Linked DNA regions of Styela clava. The protein of the gene in region 1 binds, or shares a complex with, the protein of each later gene. Links are inferred from orthologs where the notes say so. Each region holds a gene or a part of one and is shown in the gene's direction. Other genes may lie near its edges.

Region 1 (7,971 bases):
AATTATGGGATAGAGATCTGAGATATACTTTAAAAAAAACATCTTTGTACTTCTGAAAATAGCTTAATGTCTAATTGGTTGCTCATCAATTCATTTTAGACTGAAAATGAAAGTTTTAGAATCTGGGGAACCTGTGGCGAAAGCAATGAGAAAATTTGTTATTGAAGAACCAATTATTGCTGAGAAAGGAGAAGAGAAAGTACGATCTGCTATGAGAAAAGTGAGAAGAAGAGTTAGACAATCTCAGGTTTGTTTCTCTTTCGACAATTTATTTTCAAATTCACGGAAGAATTAAGGAGTTTTGTTGATAAAGTATTCAATGCTTTGTACCATTGCTGTATCATCATCGCAAAACATTTTAATTCTTTTTTTAGAGTAAAGTCCACATTGGTCCTAATTCTCTTGCTTGAATGAAAAATCTAGATGTGAATTTTTCAAATGGTCTGGAGAAGCAGTCATTCATAGAATAAGTTTATTGGCTTTATGCCAGTTATCTGGTTGAATATTGTTCACAATTTATTGCTCTCTACTCTTTTGATAGTGGTTTCCACAAGGCCAAATCTAACAAAAAGTTTCATACCGTTAGAATCATTACCATTAAAAAATATACGGCAAAAATTGTTTATTCAATCAGTTGGCTTGATTAATTACTAATAGATATCATTGCGTTTTGGTAAATCATGTTCTCTGAAATGTCCATATAATACATTCGCATTTCGACTTATATCTTATTATTTATTGTGTGTTCCCCTCAAAGATGGCAACAATTAATTATAACGATATGATGTTCAAGTAAATGTTTTGATATTTTTGCATGTTTTATGTGACAGTTACAAGTGACTTGCATCAGGAAATGCATGAGGTGACATGTTGACACTCACCAGTCATTGATTGAGAATTGATCATAAAATCTTCTCTTTGAGTTTCCTTTTCATTCAGTCTGTTTGTAGCCTGCACTGCAGCAAGGCAGAAGTTTTCATTTGCAGAAAATCAAATTTGAAAGTCTTTTGTGAAGCTTAATAAAGTAAAAATAACTTAGAAATTGAGATTCTAAAAGGTCTTACTTTAGTAAGAATAAAGATATCTTGATAATGGATATTGTAAAAACAGTTTTAGTTACAATAAGTTTGTAGCCTATTCAATATCTATTTACCCAGATGTTTGAATCTTTTAACGTAATTTTCAATGATGCGGAATTTATTAAACATGTTTTTGGGGTCAGATTTTGCTTCTATTATCCAATTATTTCATATGCTCTAGATTGATGCGATTCACTATTGTTTCCTTTTAATTAGATTGAGTGGATATGCTGGACTAGTGGTCAAAGAGTTTGAATTAATTGTGTTGGCATCGTAGATTGAAAATCTTGTGTTCAAATCTCATGCTCACCGCTTCAAAAAAAATTAGTAATGAATTTGGATGGATAATGCCAAACTGGAGTTACGGCTTTTCAAATATAAGAGTTCTTCGCATAGTAGTGGTTTCTCACGCAGAGTTTTGTTTGGAATTAAAGACAATTAAAATTAATTATCAAAACATCTGTTCAATACAGTATTGAATATCTTTGAATCCATTATGTTTGTTTGAAATTCATAAAATGTCAATGGTATAAAGTTTAAACAATGAAATGTTTCGTTTTACAGAGGTTATCACTGGAAAACAGTGAGGAATCAAACAACACAAAAAAGAAATCTAGCAAAAGTAAAAAAGACGCCACTCTTGTCTATGATTGGGAGGGTATCAGTAATTCCCCATCCTTTATGAGAAGTGGATTTATGCAAAATCTTGGTTCAAAATATAAAAATTCCTCAAGTGAATCTTTGATTAAATCTGACAATTTAAACAGCGAATCAATATCGAACTTACCAAATTTGCAAGTTGAAATACAAGTACCAGAACCATATTCCGAGAACGATACGAACATGAGTGAATTAAGCGCATTCGAAGGAAGTTTGCAAGGCAAAGTAATCTTAGTCGCTGGTGCATCAAGTGGAATCGGGAAGGCTATTGCGGAAGCTGTTGCAAGAGCGGGTGCACACGTATGTGTTGGCGCACGAAGACAAGATAAACTTGCTGAAGTCTGTGAAAAAATTGACTCTGAAGGTGGTATTGTACACCAATATGAATTGGACGTAACGGATCGGGCTCAATTTTCTGAAGTTGTGAAAACTATTGAGGAACTTATGGGCCCGATTGATATTTTAATAAACAATGCTGGATGCATGTTTTACACGCACATGCACAATGCAATGATGGATGATTGGGATAAAATGATTAATATTAATTGTCGTGGCGTAACTAACGGTATTGGGTGTGTTCTACCTGGAATGGTAGAAAGGGGGAAAGGTCATATTGTTAACACATCATCAGATGCAGGCAGGAGAGGGTTTCCTGGTTTAGCGGTATACTCCGCAACAAAATTTTTTGTAGAAGGACTTTCTCAATCTTTAAGGCAAGAAGTAAAAGACAAGGGGGTCAGAGTAACTTGTATTCAACCCGGTGACGTTGCGACTGAAATTGGGAATTATACGAGAGATCTGGATGCCCAAGTGCAATACAATACAATGGGTTCAGCAAGTAAAATCCTTGACCCTGAAGACATTGGAAGGGCTGTCTTATATGCCCTTACTCAGCCAGATCATGTAGGTGTAAATGAAATTCTTATAGAGCCCACAGAAGCTCCAATCTAATTTATGGTATTTGACAACCTTTCCGTATCTGAGCGTTTGTTTTTCAGATATGTTTTTAAGTTTACTTAGTCCAATGTATGCTGTTCCTGCCAGACTAAAATCAAGCCGAAAGGCTGTTTCAAGCATTAGTTGAAAATAATATTAAATTCTGGGTGCCAATAATATTGTGTTTTGTGACAAAATCATGATACATAAACTGCATGAACTGGTATATAAATCGTGTTTTCTTTTGTTAACTAAACTGCTTGTATATAGATTGTGATAGCCAAATGTTTTTTATGCATGGAATATATTTGTGAGGTCAACTTTTCGCAGTTACATATAGACGATAAATTATTCCAGAATTTTAATAAAAAGTGTGTTTTTGATTTTAGCGCTTGTGGGAATTATGGCATACCGGTACTTGAATTATTTTATTTACTGATTTCCAACAAATGTTAAACTGACTTATATCATATAATCAGGGAAATCACTACGAAATGGTTAAATTAGATGTCAGTTTACGTATAGTCCAATGTATTTTTCTGGTTTTGCTTTGAAATCGTGATATAATGTGGTCTATTTTCAAACTACTTGGTAAATTGTTTTTGATGTACGTAGTCCAATTTTGATTTTTAAGCTGTTTTTCTTCAGCAATTATTCAGTTTACTCCAGATCCCAAGTTTTTATGAATGGAGGAATATTGAATAATGTTTATTCAGAAGATTGATTAGTTATTAAAGTTTTAAAATATATATCATACCAAACTAATGTTTCGTCTCTTAAGAAAATACTTTTGTAGTGTTATTATTGTATTTTGAGGCTTTCATAATTATGTTCATTCATGGAATACCTTCTAATAAAAGCATTATTAAATGCATTTGTGTAGTTTGTAGGAATTATATCTAAACATTACTGTAACTACATTTTTAGCACTTGACCTTAGAGATGGGATAGGGAATTTTTTCATTATTTTAATGAATTAGAAAATTATAAATTGAAAAAAAAAGGATGGGCATGAAATGGAGTTGCAAAACTTTCTGCCAGCTCCATTTACAACAAAAATCCATGGCTTTAGTCCCGTCCGAATACTCCAGTAACAAGGCAGCATTTACCTGATTAAGTGCGCCTGACTTGGTTTCTAGTTAATACTGGACTGTGGTTTGCTATGGAATGATTCATCTTATTTTCAATCTCAGGGTTTATATAGAAATTCTATCAGCTTGGTAAACCAAGTATTGCAAAATGGATCTTCAAATATTGTACAATCATTTCTACCTTTTTTTCTTATCTCCAAGTTATTTATTCCTCACATTCTTGGTGCAGATAAAAATAGTAGGCTATTCAAATTATCATTCAGTAGATGCTTTTCATTCTCAAATTAATTGCATAGACCTGAGACAATTACAAAGTTATCTATACCCATACTTGTCCTGGACATACAACCGGACAAGAAACAGTCTACCATAGGATTAAGCCATTTCATCAGCCTTGCTCAGGATAAATATAAAAAACCTATCTTGATTGTCATTAGCAAATATGCTATACATGTTGATTATATTCTTATATTATAAGCGGTAGTAATGAAAATTTGATTAAGTTATTATAAAACAACGATTACGGTACTTGTAATATGAACGAGTGTTTTCTTCTAACATTGATTTGGTTTTGACGTGTATGGGCCAAATATCAAAGTTTTTTATTGAAAAATTTTGAGTTTTGTTTTCCAATAATCCAGGCCTCCTTGTAAACATAGGCCATTGCTTCAAAAACGTTTTTGATCTATTCAAGCATTATTAAAATTATCATCATTCATTTCTCATTTTCGTTTATTTTTACATATTGTTGAATCACTCAACTCATCAAAACAGTTTTTTTGGGGGATTCGTTACCATGGGAATCGAAATCTTCATCAAAAATTGTTTTTGTGATAATCTGTTATATGTTAAACTATTATTAATTGAATTCTTTCAATGTAGATTAATTGATAGTTTAATTAACTGTATTCGCTGACCCATGAAGGTCATTGAATGCAGCAATATGAACGATTCATTGCAGTCTTACATTGCGAAACATCCTATTGAATGTATGTTCTTCAGTGAATTTCATCATTTGCAAGGACCCAAGATAACTTATCAGGTATTTAACAATGGAGTGGACCTATAAATCGTTTTGTGAATATTATGTTGTTATTGTTCTTCTTGGTATTTTTCTTCTTATGGTTATGGAAAAATCGTTTTTTTCTTCAACTCCTGGACCAATTGCTTTGGAATTTTTAGTGGTTAGAGATTGTGTTTTTCATATTTAAGCATTGTTTTGTTGTTTCTTGAACATTGTCCATGACTGAATATTATAAGGTTGAAATATGTCTCAGTATTTTTAATGTGTTCTGTACAATAATATAAAAAAAGGGAATATTGAATGTAGAAGTAAAATTGTTGTATAAGTTCAAGTTTCGTCTCTTGTTTTTCAAAAATCTGATAACTTGAACAAATTTTCATGATTGTAAAACATCTACTACATCTAATATTGGTCTAACTATCATTAGCTCTGGAATATAGTTTTCTGATCAGTGATGTTGTCCTTCCTATTGTTATGACTTGATTTCCTTCTTTGCAATAAATCATTTGATATGATATTTTAATTTCAGTATCCTGATGGATATTTTAACCAACAAGAAGGATTATTTGAAGAAGTTACGAATTATATCATTCCTAAACCAGAATTACAAGAGAAATTGACAACTGTGTTGGTATATTTTGTAATTTATTTTCCTTGAAATGAATGAAATACACACAAAATTTGGTCAAATAACAGGGAAGAATATCTCAAGCCCAGGGGTGTGCAATCTTTATTACATGAAGACCACATTCAAATAACTGGAAGAAAACGTGGCCCGCACCTTTATTTAACATAGGCTTTAATGTAGTTGCATGCACAAAAAGCTAGCTAGCTGTTAGGGCATTGTAACGTCGTAAAAATTGGTCTCGGGTATAGGCTTTGCAACTCTAAGGTATTGGGGTTACTCGCTCATACCAGATAAAACTAAATTAAAACTGCGTTTCCCGGGCCGCACACAATCCAAAATTGGCATGTCTCCGCAGGCCGCACAATTTTTCCCGGTGGGCCTCAATTGGCTTGCAGGCCACAGGTTGCACAACCCTGCTTCAGCTTGTTCTGAGCTGTAAATGGGATTAAAATATTTTTGTTTAATCAAATTTTCTGCAATACACTATGACCAAGCTATTCCTAGATTCTGACTATCGTAGAGAATTGTGGTTTACTATAATTGGTGGTATTCAATCAGAGTCTGATTTGAAAGGGTGTACTATTTGGAATCTGGATTCAGTATTTGGGACTTTGAGAGAGTTGGGAGTCCAAATTTTTATTGGTTAAAATAGTAGTTAAAATAGTTTCTCACATTTGTAAGCTGTAGTGAGTTAAGATTTTGTCAATTCAGACCCTTGACTTAGACCTGCATTTTGAATCTCTGGAGTGAGAAGAAACTTTTTTCAGACAAAAAACGTCCTAACTATGTATTTTCATAGGGCTATTCTGAAATGAAGGTAGCTGTGTTTGCTTCTCTTTAGCTATCATGCAGCATTATTAAAAATGTGACTATAACACGCAGTAAATATCATTTGTCTATAATTAATACTGTATTTAGGAATGTAGGGAAAAAGAAAGTGATTGGATGTCCAGTATGTATCGAGGGATCTCATTATCCAAGAAATAATTTCATCTTTAACTTTGGTCTGGTGCTCGATAGTAAACATAAGAGTTCTCCTTGTATTCCAATGATCAAACAACTCTCAAAATATATGTCAGAACTTGAGAAGGAGAATGGCTTCGTTTCTAATGAAGAGACTAGAGAAATGATTCCAAGTAAGAAACAACCCTTAACTGTAAATCTGGTTTGAAAGAAATTTAGGACTTCTGCTCAATTTAACTGCCAATAAGAAATAAAAACCATCGCATTTTAAGTCTTTTTCATAAATAAACTGAAAAATGGGCGCTCCAGAAGTATGTGTACCAATATGGAGGTGACTAATTTTGTTTGCCTATTTTACATCCAAGTTATATAAAGTGACTGAAACTTGTGGGCAGGGGGTATATTCACTTGGCTAACACAGACAATCCCTGACTTGTAATAGAATTAAAATAAAGAAAATCGGAATAAAATTATGGCCTAACCCTAACATGGTGCACATACTACGGGAGTACTCAAAAATATATTTGGCCCTGTGCAGACAATACAGCTAGTTATGTTATTGTTATGTTAAGTATATATCTTGATTTTAAACAAAAAAATAAGTCTCATTCTTTCAGGGTGTAAGAATTTGGTAGGTTTTGCATAAACATAGATTCTGGTTATTTTAAAATATTGTATCCGTAGATCTATATCCAAACCCTCGTTTAAAGTACATTTATGAAATGTCCCAAAAATAGCCAAATTAATATTACATTCACGATACAAACACTCATTTTACAGTCGTATGAAGCAGATCTCATATTTTGGAGCGAAATGTGTGTGCATAATAATGCAAAATAGCCTGCTCCTGTTTCTTTCCCGCGGAGCACTATAATCCGGCCCGCGACGCTTCACTAAATTATAGTAACAAAACATCCGTTTTGACGAATATATTCTTTAGACTTAATTATATTATAACCCAACAATTATATAATTCACAATTACTCGTTTAATGAGCATATAATTTAATTATAATTAGGCAAATGGCAACAAAACGCGGAAAAGTTAATTCTAAGTGCAAAGGGTTCAATGGCGCTGAAAATATTCAAATGGGATTTTATGAGATGCAATGAGGAAATAAATCTATATTCTATTCGAGAGATGTATCAGTGCTTGATTTTTATTATAAAAAGTACCATCCGTTCGAAATTTTCAACTTTCTAAAAATATGTGCGACCCGTCAATGACTTGCAACCTTAATTTTGGCCCGCGAGTGACAAAAGGTTTCCTCACTGCTGTACTCTATTGGTTTGATTGTAAAACAATCACCTTTGAGGTTTATTACCATTACAGATTACATTCCTACATTTTTCTAGATATTCTGCGCGATATGCTTGAAGAACTAAATACAAAAGGAAGTTGCTGCACAAGGGTTAATGATAACACAACTTTATTTTTAAAAGTATTTCCCCCCACAACCCTTCCTCCTGTAGTAAAAGATCATGATGTGCCGATACTGATGGTATCGATAGATGAATTCATGCCAGGAGGATGGGATTTGACCACAGAAAGGGTAAGATTGTAGTTAATGTGAATTTTGAATATTCCATA
Region 2 (8,356 bases), on another chromosome or scaffold:
ATTATAGACTATTTTTTATTTTTTTAAGGTTTCACATTGTGGATTCAAAACAGTTTTATAAAAATAAATAAATGATGAAAAATTATAGTCACGTATAATATAATAAACAAGTAGGCTAGTCTATATTCATAAACATCATATAGTAGTTAGTACCGGTAATTCATATCTGTATATTGTTCCATTCAGCCATTGTTGATTCCAGATAAAGTTCACCATGTTTAACAGTAAATAAACATTATTTTACATGTTTTTTAATTATTGTTAGCAGGAAAAGAAAAATTTATACAATTATTCATAGGTTCTTGCAGATTATGATAAGTTCATAATCTTATATAGTCTAACTAGGTTTTTGTCTAAATTGTTCCATATTTCTCCTTACTGAAATGGATTTTCTAATTCTTGCTATGACATTATTTACACTTGGATTAACATTAACATCCTGTTATACTTAACTATATATTCCAGAAATAAATTTATTGCTGTAATCTAATGATAATCCAAAACAAATCCATACCATAAACCTGTAAACCAAAAAGTTGAATGCAGTGAAGTGCTGAGATCAGAAAAATGGCGGGATTTCAATCAAATGTGAACAACCGTAATTGTGGTGCACAGAGTCCGATTTTGTTCACCCGCAATAACCATTGCGAATAATTCTATACTAGACATTTATTTTTCAACATTGATGTGTTCATTTTAAATATTCATTTATTCTTTTTCAATTTATTATCCTAGTATTTACTATATACAGATGCAAATAAAGTTTTAAATATTGATTTACCTTGAGAAAATATCGCAAGACTCATTACACATATTTTGAAACAGTCATATACATATCTGGAGGCTGGAGCAGATGACATGTTGCATTCATTTAGGCATAGACTGGCTGATTGGCCTGAATGTAAGAAAGGTTTATACCTACAAAATCGCGCTTATATTTATATTGATTTTGTTTGTTTAGTTATATTAAAATAAATTATAATATAAATTAGGATTCTTGCCTTATTACAGTATTATTGAATTTTAATGATCCTTTATTTCAGGGGTTCTCAAACTTTTGGTGTTGCGGAGCCCTTGAAAGGTTGAATATTATTCGCGGAGCCCCAAAATAAATTTTAAAATTGTTACTTTCAGATTATTATTCCCGAGCAAGTTAAAAGTACTTTATTTATTCTAAATGCTGAACCTTTTTTAATAGGGTTAACACAAGTCATAAATAAATCTAAATTTTATACTAAAGCTGTAAATTTGACACTTGACGAACATATTAATAAATTAGGGATCGAATCTTTTTTTTTTTGACATTTTTGGAAGACTTAATTAAAAGGCCGTTAGTAACGTGCGCTATTTCATTTTGTTACAATCGCCGATTTTTTCCGTCAGCATGGCGTGTTTTAAACATCTTTACGCCGCTGTTTATTCTCCCTAAATCAAAAATTTCCCTCGGCATATACATGTATTGTTACACAATGACGACGTTAATTGCTTTTTTGTTCTCGTGGGGAATTATGAGTTCAATGTGAAAAACATGTTACCATATTATTATAGTCATCGGCGACGAAATGCTAAAAATAATAATCAATAAAAAGGTAAATCCACAACTCAAATTTCTTGATTGAAAAGCGGCATTCTAAAATATTTAAACTGAAACTTAAAATGGAAGATCACACTTTGGTTTCAGCAGACTCACCTCAGATTGAAAACGCTTCTATAGACATTGTAAATCACAAAATTTGGTGTTATGTTAGGTTTTCATCGTAGTAGCTGCGAAATCGAAACACAGTCAATTGTGCGCGCGATTTACCTTTTTTTTTCATTCTGAAACTACCGACGCAGCCGCACGCAATCAATGGTGCGCGCGATCCGCGATGTACCTTTTTTCATTCTGAAACTACCGACGGAGCTGAATGCAATAAAATAATTTTCAATTGTTCGTATTTTCCCCAGACATTGTGATTTTTTAAACAGCGATATCTTGCTTAAAAATAATCTCAAGTGCGAAAGAACAAATCAAGTTTGACAAATACCAAGATCGCAAAAATACGACACCAATTTATTTATAGTTGGCAGCTTATCACATATTTTATGTTATTTTAGAATAGTATTCTTTCATTTTAGTAATCCTAATAGTAATCTCGAATCAAACGTGAGTAACGATGAGCACAACTACATTATACCGACGAGACACGTCAAATGCTCCATCGGTCTTGGATTGAATATTTTACGCAACAGAAATCTCGTTATCCGTTTTTTTAATCGCGAAAAATGTTGCGCGGAAATTTCCGATTCCAATTTTGAACCATCTCCCTCTTAAGAATCCTGGCTGCGCTACTGCTCATAAATAATGTCATTTTTTAATTCCGGCCCTTTACCATATTTCGAGGCTATATTGTTGTCAGATGTTATCAAAACTGTTATTGCTTCTTTGAACAGTTACAAAATTTTGAGTCAGTATTTTGAAGAGTAATCGAATAGCTCGCGGAGCCCCTGGGTTTCACTCGCGGAGCCCTGGGGCTCCGTACGGAGCACTTTGAGAACCTATGCTTTATTTAGTCTTATAGTAGGTAACTATCAACTATTGTAGATTTGAATGTAATTATTCTTTTATTATTTATAGTGCGATATAAAATTTGGATCATGAGAAATTATACTTCAAATAAACTCCTGGTATTGCTCTCCTTTAAAAGCAGATAAAAAATGGCCGTTATGTGTAAAAAAAATATAGAAAATTCTAGAGTAAAAAAATGCTTTAGGAATTACAAAATTTATGCGAAGTATTATTTTAGACATGAAATTAGATGTTAATTTTTGTTTTTTGCAATTGCTAAAATATTTCATGTCTTAGTCAATGTTTTATGTCTGGTTAATTATAAAAGTTCTCATTCTGTAATAATGTAAACTTTCGTGTAATGAACCATTCATATGGGCATTATTTCTGTATTTGAAGTCGTTATGAAATGACCATGTCCCACATTCACGCTTTAACAGTACTATAATCAGAAAATGGTGATCGGTATGTATTTACCAAATGTCCTTTATTACTAAAGTACTAAAATGGCTATGTACCCACTTAATTAATCATGTCCACATAAAAATGGCCGTGGTTGTTACTCCAGAATTGAATAAAACACAAAATTTAAATAAAAGCTAGATTAGACCGATGGTTCTCAACCTGTGGTACGCGTACCACTAGTGGTACACGAGCAGATTTGAATTATTGCAACAATTAATCTTTCAGTTGGCTAAAATATGTCGACAACACTTTATCCTCCTTACTGTATGTATTCGCTGAACAGCGTTTATGAAGGTTTTCCCAAGCATCAGTTTCCTTGTTCATTTCCGTAACTATCACCAATCAGCAATAAGTCAATAATGACGCAACACGTAACAATGGCAATTTCTGCACTCAGTCGCACAGACACTTCTGTCGCTCAAACAGATATTCAAGCATGGTTGCAAACATTGCCCCATTTTTGTAGTTTTGAAATATATTTGTCAGTTTTCAGTTGTATTTTAAGGAAATAATTGTGAATTAATTAACTTATTTGTCATTATGTCTCCCGCAGAGCTTTACTTTAGTTGCAGTAATCGAAATTGAATCTCGCAAATGCTGTGATGGACAAAGCTAAACTTAGCTACCGGTATATGTGGGGCTGCCATCGATATGAACCCAAAAATAAGGACATCAGGGAAACATAATAATACAATAACAAAGAACGAACTGTAATAAACAAAATGTATTCATGCTAGTGCGTGTCTAAACATACTTTGCAAAGGATTTGCTCCAGCAGTTCTTTATTCTTAGAAAAAATCTGTTCCATCTCACTTTCAAGTTGTATTTTAATTCAGGTTACACGCAGTGATTTTGGTCGGTAGGCTTTTGTTTTGTCACTGTGTCAATTATTTTTCAGTTCTTACTTATGGATTCACGTAGCAATCAATGATGTTGTAAAATATCATTTCTAGCAAATCAATCATTCGATTTGACCAATCTAAATGCCCGATATTAGAACGTCTACCCGTAAAATAAGGTCACATGTCGAAATAAGGACGTTTCTTAGAAATAAGGAAAAAATTCTTTTCTAAGACAAAGGCCTTCAAAATAAGGACAAATCTTAGAAATAAGGACGTTATGGCAGCCCTAGCTATATCAGTACCTGCAAACGGCACATGGTTGATTAATTTTAATAAAAATGATGACTCCAAACACGTAAACCATTTTATATGCGCCAACACATCTAAGCACTCTCAGAATAAGCATGAAGTTTACAATTGTAAAGTATAGTGGTAAATTTTCCGGAGTCAAGGGTCGGAGAAACATCCACATAGCGCTGGTGCGCTATCAGTCATTGTCTCTAGAGATCGCCCGCTATTGCCCATCTTAAATGAAGCGATATGGGCATGTTTTTGTCCGTTTTGTGTGTCACGCCACAAAGGATGTAGTGCCACATTATAAAATACTACCGTTACTACTAAATAACACGTTTCTTGTGTCTTTTTCCTCACGCCAAAAAAGAAGCTTTGTCGGTGGTACGCGGCCATAGTGAAAAACAGTGAAGTGGTACGCGGTCAGTAAAAGGTTGAGAACCACTGAAGTAGACCTATTGATTTTTGTTGTGTAAAAAGAATTCTATTTGACTCTATTATTCAATTCTACAAGCCGGATAGTGCTGTAAAATATTTATGAGTTCTAAACTTCAGAAATTTTTTGTTTTTATAATTTCCATTTAAACTGATCACAAGCTAACACCATTGCCGTTTACTATTATTATTGCATCACTTCCTTTTTTATTTTTTTGAAATAACGTCTCAATAAAACACAACCAAAAAAATTGAATTAATGAGAGTATGATGCAAAACATTTGAACCACTAACTAAAGACATGCATGCATCGCGGGTACCCATCTCTTAATGAATACCAAGTGGCCAGTACCAAGAGCTACAAGGAGGCTGTTTAAATCAGAACAATCATGAAAGCACAATCAATTTACTCAAAATTTGCCCAAATTTTAAATTTAATTTTAATTAAATTAAATTTTAATCAGAACAATCATGAAAGCACAATCAATTTACTCAAAATTTATATTTTACATATCTCAACTTGTAGTAATTTTATAGCTAAAATGGATGATACAGAATCACTAGCTGAATTTAGTGCCATTAAGATCAATGCCGAACATAAGGATCTTATTCATGACCTTGCTTTCGATCATTATGGAAAGCGTATGGCGACTTGTTCCAGTGATCAAACTGTCAAAGTATGGGATTTAGATGATGATGGTGATTGGTACTGCAGTTCCAGCTGGAAAACTCACAATGGTTCAGTCTGGAAAGTATGTTGGGCTCACCCTGAATTTGGGCAAGTGCTTGCAACATGTTCCTTTGACAGAACTGCTGCTGTATGGGAAGAGATTGTTACTGATACGACAACATTGAAAAATAATAGATCATGGATACGTAAATCGTCTCTTGTGGATAGTCGAACATCTGTAACTGATGTAAAATTTGCTCCAAAACATCTCGGTCTACAACTGGCTACTTGCTCTGCTGATGGAATTGTACGTGTTTACGAAGCACCTGATGTTATGAATCTGGCTCAATGGTCTGTTCAGCATCAAATCAAATTGAAATTAGGTTGCAGTTGTTTGTCCTGGAACCCCTCAAGTTTTTACAAACATCCTTCAATGATTGCAGTGGGTAGTGATGATAATAACCCATCCGTGGGCGGCAAGGTTTTAATATATGAATACAGTGAAATCAATCGTGATTGGGTCAAAGTTCACACAATAATGACAATAACGGATCCTGTTAATGATATTGAATTTGCTCCGAATTACGGTGCGATGAGACACACGCTTGCCGTAGCGTCAAAGTGTGTTCATATTTTTGTTATGAAGCTTTTGAGTGATTCTAAAACATCTGGAACTGAATCGTCTAGCTATTCTGTGAGTGAAGTCGCTAAATTTGATGCTCACAATAGCAAAGTATGGAGAGTTAGTTGGAATGTTCTTGGTACGGTGTTGTCATCGTCTGGAGATGATGGAAAAGTTCATCTCTGGAAAGCTAATTATTTAGATAATTGGAGAAAAGTTGGAACATTGAAAAATTTGCAAGATAATAAAACAACACAAAGCAATGTTTCAAGACAAAATAGCTCCAATGATAAAGGACTGTCCAATTCTCAACAAACTATCAGGTATGCTGGTGGAAATGTTCGAGGTGGACAACTTTTTTAATAAAATTCTGCATGTTTGCAAGTTTTAAATATTTTTTCTAATTTCATTCAATTCGAAACTTGCAATTCTGAGTGTTTGCATATGCTTTGTTCCCAATAATCTTGTCTTATAATTTATATAATTTTGAGGCATGGTTATGTATTTGCTATATTCAAAAAAATTGTACATATAGAAATAAAGTGAAATTTGTGATTGCATATTGAACTAATTTAGATTGGTAATGTAGTATTGCTCATCTCAGTCAAGCATAGGCTGCTAGGGCAATACATAGTGAAATTGTCACAAATTTGGGGTGATTGCTAGACATTGCTTAGGGTAAAGTGGTGGCTTACAAAGATTGAGAATTATCGTTTATCCTCATATATGAGCCGATTTCACATATAAGCCGACCCCGTAAAAAGGCCCTTCAGCATTGTCGTCTATTATGGAATGTTGGCATATCGGTATTGACGTTTTCAGCAGCGGTGAATTTTTATAAAAAATTCGTATTTAAGCCGACCCTACAAATCATACGCCCTTATTGGTAGGAAATTAGCATGGTTTGAGTGGAATTAAGTTAGCATAATATCATTTCGTTTGAGTGCGATTAGAGTTATGCGCTTTTATTAAGCCAAATTTTTAGTGCGATTAGAGTTATGCGCGTATAAGCCCTTAGTTTCGCAACTTTTTTGAGCTTTGTATTCGGCTTATATGCGAGGATATCAGTGATTTTTTTTAATCATCGTCAGTGCCTAAATATTAAATTAACAGAGGGGACCATTGAAATAGCAACTGGGGCTATTAATCTATCTATTCGCAACTAATTCATGATGCCTTGGACATATCGTAATTGAAAAATATTACTGTGACATGATTTTCTGTTTTTTTTTCTTGACATATAACCAAAAAACACATGTATAGGACAGGCCTACATGGTGAATAATATGCTCAGGCTGTGAAGTGGAAACTGTGGTACCATGAGATTCACAGGTGCTAGCAGCTTTGGTGTGAATTAACTGTAAGTTTACTCCAACTTCATTGAGTATTACTGGTGGCCATTTCGCAGAAGATTATGACCTATGATCAATGTTCCCTCTAATTTTTTGTAGTATGTGTGCGCAGAAGTTTTGGTGTGTGCGCACTTTTTTTGAAATGACTAATATTTGTGCAAATACCAATGAAGAAATTTTAGCGTTCTAACCGGGTAATGGGTGGGCCAACAACAAACTTTATCAACCTGCCAACCGAGAACATTGTTACATTACATCGAAATAGGTCTGTGCGCAGTAAATCTATGCGAGTGCGCAACCGCGGGCACACGCGCACACTTTAGAGGGAACACTGCTTATGATACATTGCTTTGAGTATATATATTCTCAAAAAAATGTCACCAAAATTATATTTGACCAGTTTGACCACGAGTACTGTGTCTGTAATGCAGCGCTCATAGGTGTAGTTTCAGTTTGGGTGTTATTTGTATTTGAGCAAGTTGGTATGTAAATACCGGTATATCTAATTTGTTGATAACCATCATTTTTTATTTGAAACTGCCATTTATTTTCATTTTCTTTCAGCCTTTTCTGTTGTTTTTCTAGTTTTAATATTTTTTCTTAATTAAACAATCTGCAATCAGTGCCAATTTTTGTTTGAGGAAAAATCTTACTTTCTGCTATCGCATTGACACAATTTCTCAGAATTTTAAATTATTTGGTGGTTATGCTGAAATTATGTATCGAATATTAACAATTAGTGATTATTTTTAATTCTTGTTTGATCACACATGTATCTGGAGTTATTTGTTCCTTCTGCCTATGATTTTAAATATGGTTACTGTCAAATCAAATGGAGAAAAACAAAATGAATTTTTTCTACAAGGGATCAAAAAACAGAGTTCTGGTCATTTGGAGCATATTCTAGAACAGTGGTTCTTAAACGGTGGGGCGCGCCCCACAAGGGAGGCATAGACAATTTTGAGTGGGCGTGTAGCTAATAAAAAATAAAAATATTTGTTACATTTAATCTTGCCTATTTTATTTTGCCCAATCTTTGTTGGATATTTTCATTTCAAAACTTTTCATTATTTACGTTCCATCCACGCATTTTCAACAGGTTTTTTAGATAAAATATACTTTCGCTTTGCT
Region 3 (8,498 bases), on another chromosome or scaffold:
ACAACAGTAACTGTAACAGTGTCGAGCCAAACGACCAGAGCTCCAATACCCAGACCCACAATTATTTGAGCCAATTGTATCATACACGTCACAAGAGCGCAGTCAGTGCCAACACCCCGTTCTTGAGCAGTACCTTTGAATTTCTGGGAAAAGAAAAAAACGATTATTTTAATGAAATACCATTAAAAAAAAAAAAAATTTTAGTGATATCATGTTGCTGATATGTTTTAAAATCAACCGTGTTATGCTGCACCCAAGACAACATTTTTCATACTTTGAGTCAAAAATTGAGTTAAAATCATTTGTAATTAGAATTTTAACAAAAAAGTTAGTAGAATAGTATCTAACCTTGTACCCTTCATGATATTGTGCCACCAGGAAGTATGGTAAAGTATATAATGTCGCGGACATCACTCCAATCAACGACGATAATATCAGAACACAATATACATTCGGATAAATTGCCATTCCCAGCGCGCCCACAGCGAAAGCAAAATATCCCAGCATGTAGATAGGCCGGGCTCCAAATCTCTTAATCATCGGCTTAAGAAGAACTGAAACGAAAGAAATATTATTAATCAAGTCTGTTCTACGTTAATAACTATTTGCTGCACAGTATTTTTGAGAAGATTAGCCTTTTTTGAGCAAAGTTATTTTGCAAATACTGAATTATACATATCCTCACAAAGTCGTGTGATTGGAAAATAAGCACTAAATAAAATTGATATGCTTTCAGTTCACTAGTAAATAGTGCTGATTCAGAACGGATCAGCATTTGTGATCTGAAAAAACTGGTACCCAATATTAACATGCACCTGGTGAATAGAAATTACATTAAATACTCAAATACTTTATTCTACTTACAGCAGTAGAAGCAAGATGCTACTGCATTAATTGTCATTCCCCAGCTTCCCATTTCAACTCCTAATTTGTATGCATCTCCTCGTTCGGTTCCAATAGGTGCTAGTGGATCGCCTCCATACACTTCTTGGCCCACGAAATCAGTGAAAAACAGAACAACGCACAAGAATGCCATCCATCCGAATAAATGTGCGATACAAAGACTCCTGAAAATGTAACATTTGTTGAAAAATAGGCTATTTTGATTATACAATACAGCGGGGTACAGTGAAATAAATATATGAGAGGCGTAGAATATATTTCTTGCTTTTGGACCACGGCTGATTTTGTAAGATGATTTTTGAAATTTCATAAAATTATTATATTCAGGCAAATTATAATAAGCTGTTGAAATTGGAAGAATTGGATAATTACTTAATTTCCTTAGGCATTCCGACAATTGATTTCCAAATTTTTTTGGCACCATGCACGCGTTCTTCAGGCACGTCTTCACCATGGAAATCACTTCGTAATAAAGGAGATTCCAAATCTTCGTCCTGGTCCAAGTCGTCCCTGATTTCTGCGATTCTCGTCTTCCTTGTACGGTTTGACTTTTTCTGATACTTGCGTGGCGCCTCGTGTGGCAGGGGTCGGTAGGGGTCAGAAAAGTCTTCGTAATTTACAATATCACTCGATTTTTCTGTTCTTTTTGCTGTGTAAGTTCTTGATTTTTCACGCTTATTTGCGCTTTTACGTACTGGAGAATAATCGTTGGAGAAGGAACTTCCCGAAGAGGAATCAGAATCTGGAAATACAAAAAATCATTGATACCAATCTATAGTATAGCGTTGGACGCGTATTAACTGGACCTTGTTGACGGTATTACACCCTTTCCCCTAAATAACATTTTAGATAAGTTGAGTGAAACGAAACGGATCCTACCTGACGGGACGTTTATCATTTTTCCATTAACTCCGTTATTATTGTAATAGTAAGGTGCAGTTGGCGGATGAGGCAAGGCGCGTCGATTTTCTTGTTGCTTCCTTGTACCACTTCTTGGAAGCGAAGCAGATTTGTTTGCCCACGATGCCATTCCTTTTAAATCTGCAACTCCCTTTATTTTTTCACCATAGTTGTCTAATGGAACACCATCCTTTCCATTATGCGTGTTGTACTTCATGGCTGGGTATGTGTTTTGTTCTTCGCTAAAGTCTCTTGGAAGACTTTGATATTGATTTTGATAACCGGATTGCGTCAAGTAGTCATGGATCTGTTCCGCGTCCGGGCGTTCGAAGCTTCCATACAAGCCATTATCTGTTTTCTTAGATTTTCGTCGATCTTTTCTCTGCTTACTCTTCATTTTGTATTTCATATGGCGTGATGATATCATGTTTGAAGTATGTGGGGTAGTAATGACGTCATGATCTATGGCAGATTTGGTGTCTTTTGACGATCTTTTCAAGTTGTTATTTGCATCAAATTTTCTTGGATTTTCCTCTTCAATTACCATGTACTTTTGTTCTCTTTCAGGGAATCGTCGTTTTCTCGATCGTACATCCTTTCCGCCGCGGCGTTTTTTAGAAAAAATTGTCTTCTTCTTTATTTTGGTATCTTTCAACTATATGTGAAAAATTTGAATGAAAAAAAGTCAACTTACTTTTAAGTTTACCGATGAAAAACTAATTTTATTTCTCTTTATTACTGTTCTTGACTTTAACAGAACGGCAATATGGTCTTACCCGATTTTTCTCTGGAATGCTAGTCAGATTCATCGCTACACAGATGATAAAAATGAGGGCTGCGAAAACGTAGACGACTTGTCTATCTGATGGAAAATATGTACCAAAACCAAGATTCCGAACCCATGACACTCCACCGCTTGCATATCCGAGAGCACCGCCCATTCCTGAAACAAAGATCGGCTCAGTTTATTAAATTTGAACTTGAGATAAAAAAAAATGTCCCGTGATGAAATTCATTCAAAGATTGACTTTACCCGTAAACACAGCTTGATAAAATAATCCGATTTTGACGTCATCTTCATCACATACATCCATGACGTAAGCGCGAATCGGGCCTTCGATAAAATCAGCGCTAAAATCAAAAACAACAACACCTGCGATCGTTACCAGTATGGTTGCGAGCACGTTTGATCTAAAAATAACAAGAAATTGAATAGATTAGAAACGAAACAATTTTTACTAAAAATTACTCTGAAAAAGTAATAGAAAACAATAATCCAGTGCCATACCTTTCGTTCGTATTCTGACTTCCGACATCATTTGGGTTTCCGACAACTAGCTCCACAAATTGTTCTCCGTTCAAGAAGAAGGTCATCCCGAACAAAAGCAAAACTGCAAGAATCAAAATGAATGGTCTTCTGCGTCCCCATCGCGTCTTGCACCTGAAAATGAGTACAATCGTATCAAGTGTGTTTATCTTTGGGTAATGTTACAAATTTTTGATTTAGGCGATATATAGTATTCTCTACAAACAATAAGGGAGTAGGTGAAATTGGCATTCTGTTTTAATTAACTAATTGAACGTGCTATTTTGTCGATTATATATATATATATATAATAATAACAAATTACATAACAATGTAAAATCCATACTCACTTATCGCTGAAGCTTCCAATAATTGGCTGAAGAACAAATCCCAGAATAGGACTTATTACCCACACAAGACTGTACAGGTTTATTGGAAGTCCAATACTTAGCAGAATAGGGGTTGTGAGACTCGCTTCAATGGCATAACAAAATTCTCTTCCAAACATTATAAAGCTATTCAAAAACAAGCTCATTTTGCTTCTTTTCGGCCTAATGGAAGACGTGGTTGAAACGGACGTAAACCCAGAAAACGCGGTGATCGAAGACATGGGCAAAGATATAATTGAGCTCGGAGCACGAATATTTCTTCTTTGTTTCCTTCGCCGAACTCTTCTCGCAATTGGCTCTTCTGGGACAGGAAGCAAAGCTCTTGTGCTATGAATATCTTCATTTAGATTCTGGTATGATGGAGCACTAGGATAATTTCCTGGTCCATTTTCATGTTGGTCTGGTGAGGTAACTACCACAGTCGGTTGTTGCGGAACGTTAACTTCGAAAACACGTTTACCGACTTTGACAGTGCGAGTTTCGATTGCTTTCTGTTCTTGAACTTCCAGCATTTCACCTTTTGGCGAAACAAAGGCGTTACTCTCCCCGTTTGGTTCGTCCAACCAGGATTCCTGCCCGAATGACGAACAAGTCGCGGAAGCAAACCGTTTATTGTCAGCAATCTCCTCTGTGTCGTTGTCGACTGATTTCGATGATCTAGCACTTTGCAAATATTTATTTGTACGCTCTGCTATTTGACTAGAAATTGGCATACCTAGCCTATGTTCACAGCTTCTCCAACTAACATAATTTGTGTGTGGAATACAAAACATTGTTCTTTATAAACCAAACAAGATTATTTTTGTTACACTATTCTGTCACGCGACAAGTTTTATTTTGTTTTAATGCGGAATTAGGATGCATAAGCTAATTAGACACGATTAGCTTCATTAAATGTTTATAATAGCCCATGAAATACTTCCTGGAATCACGCTGGTTTCACTAACGCATTCATTAATAAATATTATTCTTTGGAGTAACAAACGATCACAATGAAACAGGCAGTGACATAAAAAATTCAATGTCAGTTTGTACTTTTAGTTGCTTTGCAAACATCTAGGCGCAAATTTGCAAATATTTTTCTGCCATGTAAATTTGACATGCTTTGACAGGCATCTATAGGAAACGCTTGTATACTAAAATCATTGCATATATATATATACAGTCCTAATTTACTTTATATTTCCTTAACATGACAAAAATAGTTAAAAAAAAAGTTTTCATAAAAGTACATGATGTAATTTTAAATAAACTAGGAACCCGTGATAGCTAACCCTAGCTAATTCTATGCCCGACAACGACTGGTGAACGGACGCAATATACAATATGATCAGAGCCATTATATAATGGCTGAGCCTTTTGGATGTTTCCCCGAGCATCGAATCCTTTTTAATTACAGCAAAACATTAAGTCTACGAAGATGTAACAATGGCAATTTATGCAGTCGCTTGGCTCAAATTAGCTATCAGTTCCTGTAAGAGACATGTGGTTTAATGTTTAACATAAATTTTTTTGGACACGCGAACAAGTTTGTATACGCCTATTTTCCAAAATACTTTCAAAATAAGTATTAAAAATTTCGCTGTAATAAAGTATAGGGAGAAATTCTCTGGGGTTAAGGGCCGGGAAAGTATTCATCGCCTCATCATATTTCCTCCCATCTTGGATATGCAGTAGCAGTGCTATAAACTTTCACCGCTATATGGTGCTGGAGAGTATTGATATTTCTCTTCAAGGATGCAATGCTGCAGATTTGCAACGGGGCGGGTATTCCCTTGGCTTGGGCTGGAGTAGATATTCGATAATACTTGTGGCCCAGAAAATACGCTTGCTAATATTCAGATATTGTTGAGGATTGCGCACTATCGTATCATTTTGTAACTAATCTAGATCTGTAGATAATTACTTCACCATATCTCAGGATGTCCTGTTCACTTTATAACAAAGTTACCGTAAGGACTAAAGAGGTTTCACTATGAATAGTATAGTATGCTGGGCATTGGTGGCAGGGGATGGAAATTTTAAAGACACCCACAAATTTTCCAATTGCAAGTGTGCTTTCTGTTTAACATGGTTGTTTGTATTGTGCTACTTTTGATAAATATGCCTTGAATTGTTCATCTTATTTCAATGGCAAAATTATCCATTTTGTATTTTTTTATGAGCTCCTGCAACCTTACTCTGTGGATATTATTTTGGCAATATCTATTTTTTCCTCTTCTGACGCCAATAAATGGGTATGTACCACCTAAGACACCAGCATAATTTGACTTTCCTACTGTAACATGGTTCACTTTTGCTCATGGTATTTCTTTGTGTGAGTGCTGGAGTGTGTAATTGAGATTGCTTTTACTGTTTTAATAAATGATTTTACACCTCCATGTTGCCTGCCAATATTGACAGTGTTTGGATATTGTTTTGGTAAATAGTTTCAATGTAGCCTATAATGATTCAAATGTTCGTATACAATAATGGTAGCTGAGAAATCACCAGGATTAGCCTTGCAGTAAATATATATAAATATAGCTGATCTCGAATGCTGTAAATTTTGGGTCTGAGATTCCTATATAGCATAAAAATATACAAGTCAAAATCTATGAGAGACGCTTGCTGTCAGAAATGCAAAAAATCACCGAAAACCTATCAAATGGTTGAAAAGTAGCATGAAGTTTTGAATAGTGGGAATAAAAATAGAGTGACAATAGCTTGAAATAGAGGCCGTGGTTCGCCATATGGTTAAGCCGTCCTATCGGCTTTCCTCTCCCTCGGGATAAATGTGTCTATCCTAATCCTAATAATAGCTGTGAATACAAATACCTAACAATGCGTGCCAATGTTAGAAGAAAATAGTGACTAGTAACACAGGAAAAAACAAAAAAAGCTATATAGGCCTATTAATATCAATCAGAGATGGAGGAGGTCGTTGGGATTCTATTACATTTAATTTTATCTACCTGAATTTTGCTATCTGATTTCAAGCGCAACACTTATTTTACTCCATGTAAGTTATCGACTGGTCTGCTGGTTGAAGCAATTATTTGGCTTTTATCATTTTAAATTGAGTTATAAGCACTGCCCGATTTTGAATCGTGTCCATATTTTTTTGTATACTCGTATTATTCTTTTTTTATATTTTGGTGGGTGGGCACGTACTTGTACGTTTTTTTAACTTTATTTCAAGTTATGCTCGCCTTCCTGTTAAATCTGTATTTGTTGTCTGTTTACTTTTTTGTATTGTTCTGCTTTTAGTCAGAGAGCCGAAATAAAATGATTGATTGATTGATTGATATCAATTTCCGTGGTCAGGTTGTCCTAGCACTGTCAGACCAGGCTACCAACCTACTGCAGTACCAGGAGACTGTACCAGAGATATTGTACTGTAGCATTGATAAACTTAGTACTAACCTTTGATCAATCACGTAATGCTGTGATGTGTGGGATACTGGGCTATATTTCGAAGATAGTTTGTCTCTATGGATTACAGAATTGTGATTGAATGTGCCATACTCCATTACTTTTTTGCATGTGAATTACTGAAATCAATTCTAGGCAAATTTTTATTTTGATTCTAGTGTTTTGTTGTGATTGTTCCTGCTTTTGAGGTAAACTACGGATGCCTCATGTCTTTAGATTCAAATTCATATCCTTTCTTCATAATTCCGTCTATTTTATTGATATGATGTTGTTTTTCTATTACTCCTATTAGTATTGCTGTTTTAATTTATTCTGTTTTTACAGTGTTAGTTGATGACCGAAAGATAAGAAGATAGTGTGATCAAAACAACTAACTTACAGTTACTACATCTAATAAACAATTTCTTTAATGTTTTCATGATTGACTTAGTGACTATACTAAAATGGCAGAGTCTGGGATCATGAAGAAATACAAGTTAAAAATACATCAAGCGAATTTCAGCGGTAAGTTACTACAGTCTGGTGATAATAGTTGGTTGGAAAATTTTTTATCTGGCAGTTTTTAGAAGCTGAATTTTTTTTTTGCAGAGGAATCACTGGTGATCAACGCTAAAGATTTTCCAGGAGTTAAGAAAGATGACATTCTTAAAATACATAACTGTGATGGAGATACTTCCAATCATCTTTTTATGAAAGTAGGTATTTTATGAAGCGTTTTTACATCTTCACTCCGATCTCCAAACAACAGAACAAGGCTGTATACAAGTATCCACCGATATATTAGGAGCTTGTTGAATTATTTCTGAATGGATTGCAATTTTCTGGTTCGGCATTGCTTATCTAATTTACTAGATTAATTTTTTATTTGCTCGGCTGTGTGGCGCATCGTGCTAAGTACTAGGAAGATGCTGATCACCGAATCTCTGATTACACTGTGTGGGTCGAATCTTGGGAGGATGATTATGTGCCAGATGATTACTGGACTTGCCGCCGTAGGGTGGTTCATGTAACCGCTGGTCAGTTACGGCTTCCTCCACCATCAATTCCATACATCTAAAACAGATACCTGGCTAAATAATTCCATACCAATATGGACTGGTAACTGTCGAGAGGCCATGGTTCACCATATGATTAAGCCGTCTTATCGGCTTGTCTGTCCCCCAGGATAAATATGTAAATCTCTCAATCCCCATCTGGGTCAGCATGGACTTCCAACCGAATATCTTCAATTTATGATGCCAACAACTAAAATTATCTAGGGCTTATCTAATCATGTGGTGAACTATGACCTCTGGTTTGTTTACCTGCCCATGTCGGGTATTAGAATAGTAAACCAGTTTTTCAGTTTTTCATGCATGGACATTTATAGAACATATGTTTGATTGGGTTACTTATAAAGTATGAATTCTGCCCAAACAATCTGATATTTATGCACATGAACAATCGTTTCTATTTGAATATTGCACAATTTAGAATATGGTCCATTATAAAACATTTTTTATTGATGGCAGTATTCTGTAAGCCAAAAATTATTTGAAAAATGTACTAGCCTAATTAAACTTTACTTTTTTAGGTCAAATCATTAA

The links. Proteins that work in one complex are often made in the same cells at the same time.
Region 2: GATOR1 complex protein NPRL2-like (region 1) and nucleoporin SEH1-like share a complex: the UniProt entries of both Drosophila melanogaster proteins name them as parts of the GATOR complex. The link is inferred for Styela clava from reciprocal best matches to the Drosophila melanogaster genes Nprl2 and Nup44A.
Region 3: GATOR1 complex protein NPRL2-like (region 1) and GATOR1 complex protein DEPDC5-like share a complex: the UniProt entries of both Drosophila melanogaster proteins name them as parts of the GATOR complex. The link is inferred for Styela clava from reciprocal best matches to the Drosophila melanogaster genes Nprl2 and Iml1.

The regions. Positions count from the first base shown.
Region 1 is NC_135262.1:4,330,849-4,338,819, forward strand, and holds the start of GATOR1 complex protein NPRL2-like, read left to right. Parts: upstream 1-4,667; 5' UTR 4,668-4,685; coding exon 4,686-4,808; intron 4,809-5,319; coding exon 5,320-5,417; intron 5,418-6,336; coding exon 6,337-6,554; intron 6,555-7,736; coding exon 7,737-7,933; intron 7,934-7,971. Other genes in the region: uncharacterized protein LOC120332525, read left to right, coding at 100-247, 1,644-2,690. UniProt on the Drosophila melanogaster protein: An essential component of the GATOR subcomplex GATOR1 which functions as an inhibitor of the amino acid-sensing branch of the TORC1 signaling pathway.
Region 2 is NC_135251.1:17,060,903-17,069,258, forward strand, and holds the start of nucleoporin SEH1-like, read left to right. Parts: upstream 1-5,092; 5' UTR 5,093-5,123; coding exon 5,124-6,196; intron 6,197-8,356. UniProt on the Drosophila melanogaster protein: Probable component of the nuclear pore complex (NPC). Involved in maintaining the localization of another nucleoporin Mgtor to the nuclear envelope of early meiotic female germline cells.
Region 3 is NC_135264.1:6,356,610-6,365,107, forward strand, and holds the start of GATOR1 complex protein DEPDC5-like, read left to right. Parts: upstream 1-5,234; 5' UTR 5,235-7,355; coding exon 7,356-7,416; intron 7,417-7,500; coding exon 7,501-7,607; intron 7,608-8,485; coding exon 8,486-8,498. Other genes in the region: membrane-associated transporter protein-like, read right to left, coding at 1-143, 349-554, 865-1,067, 1,276-1,645, 1,783-2,458, 2,580-2,746, 2,837-2,994, 3,092-3,244 and 1 more. UniProt on the Drosophila melanogaster protein: An essential component of the GATOR subcomplex GATOR1 which functions as an inhibitor of the amino acid-sensing branch of the TORC1 signaling pathway.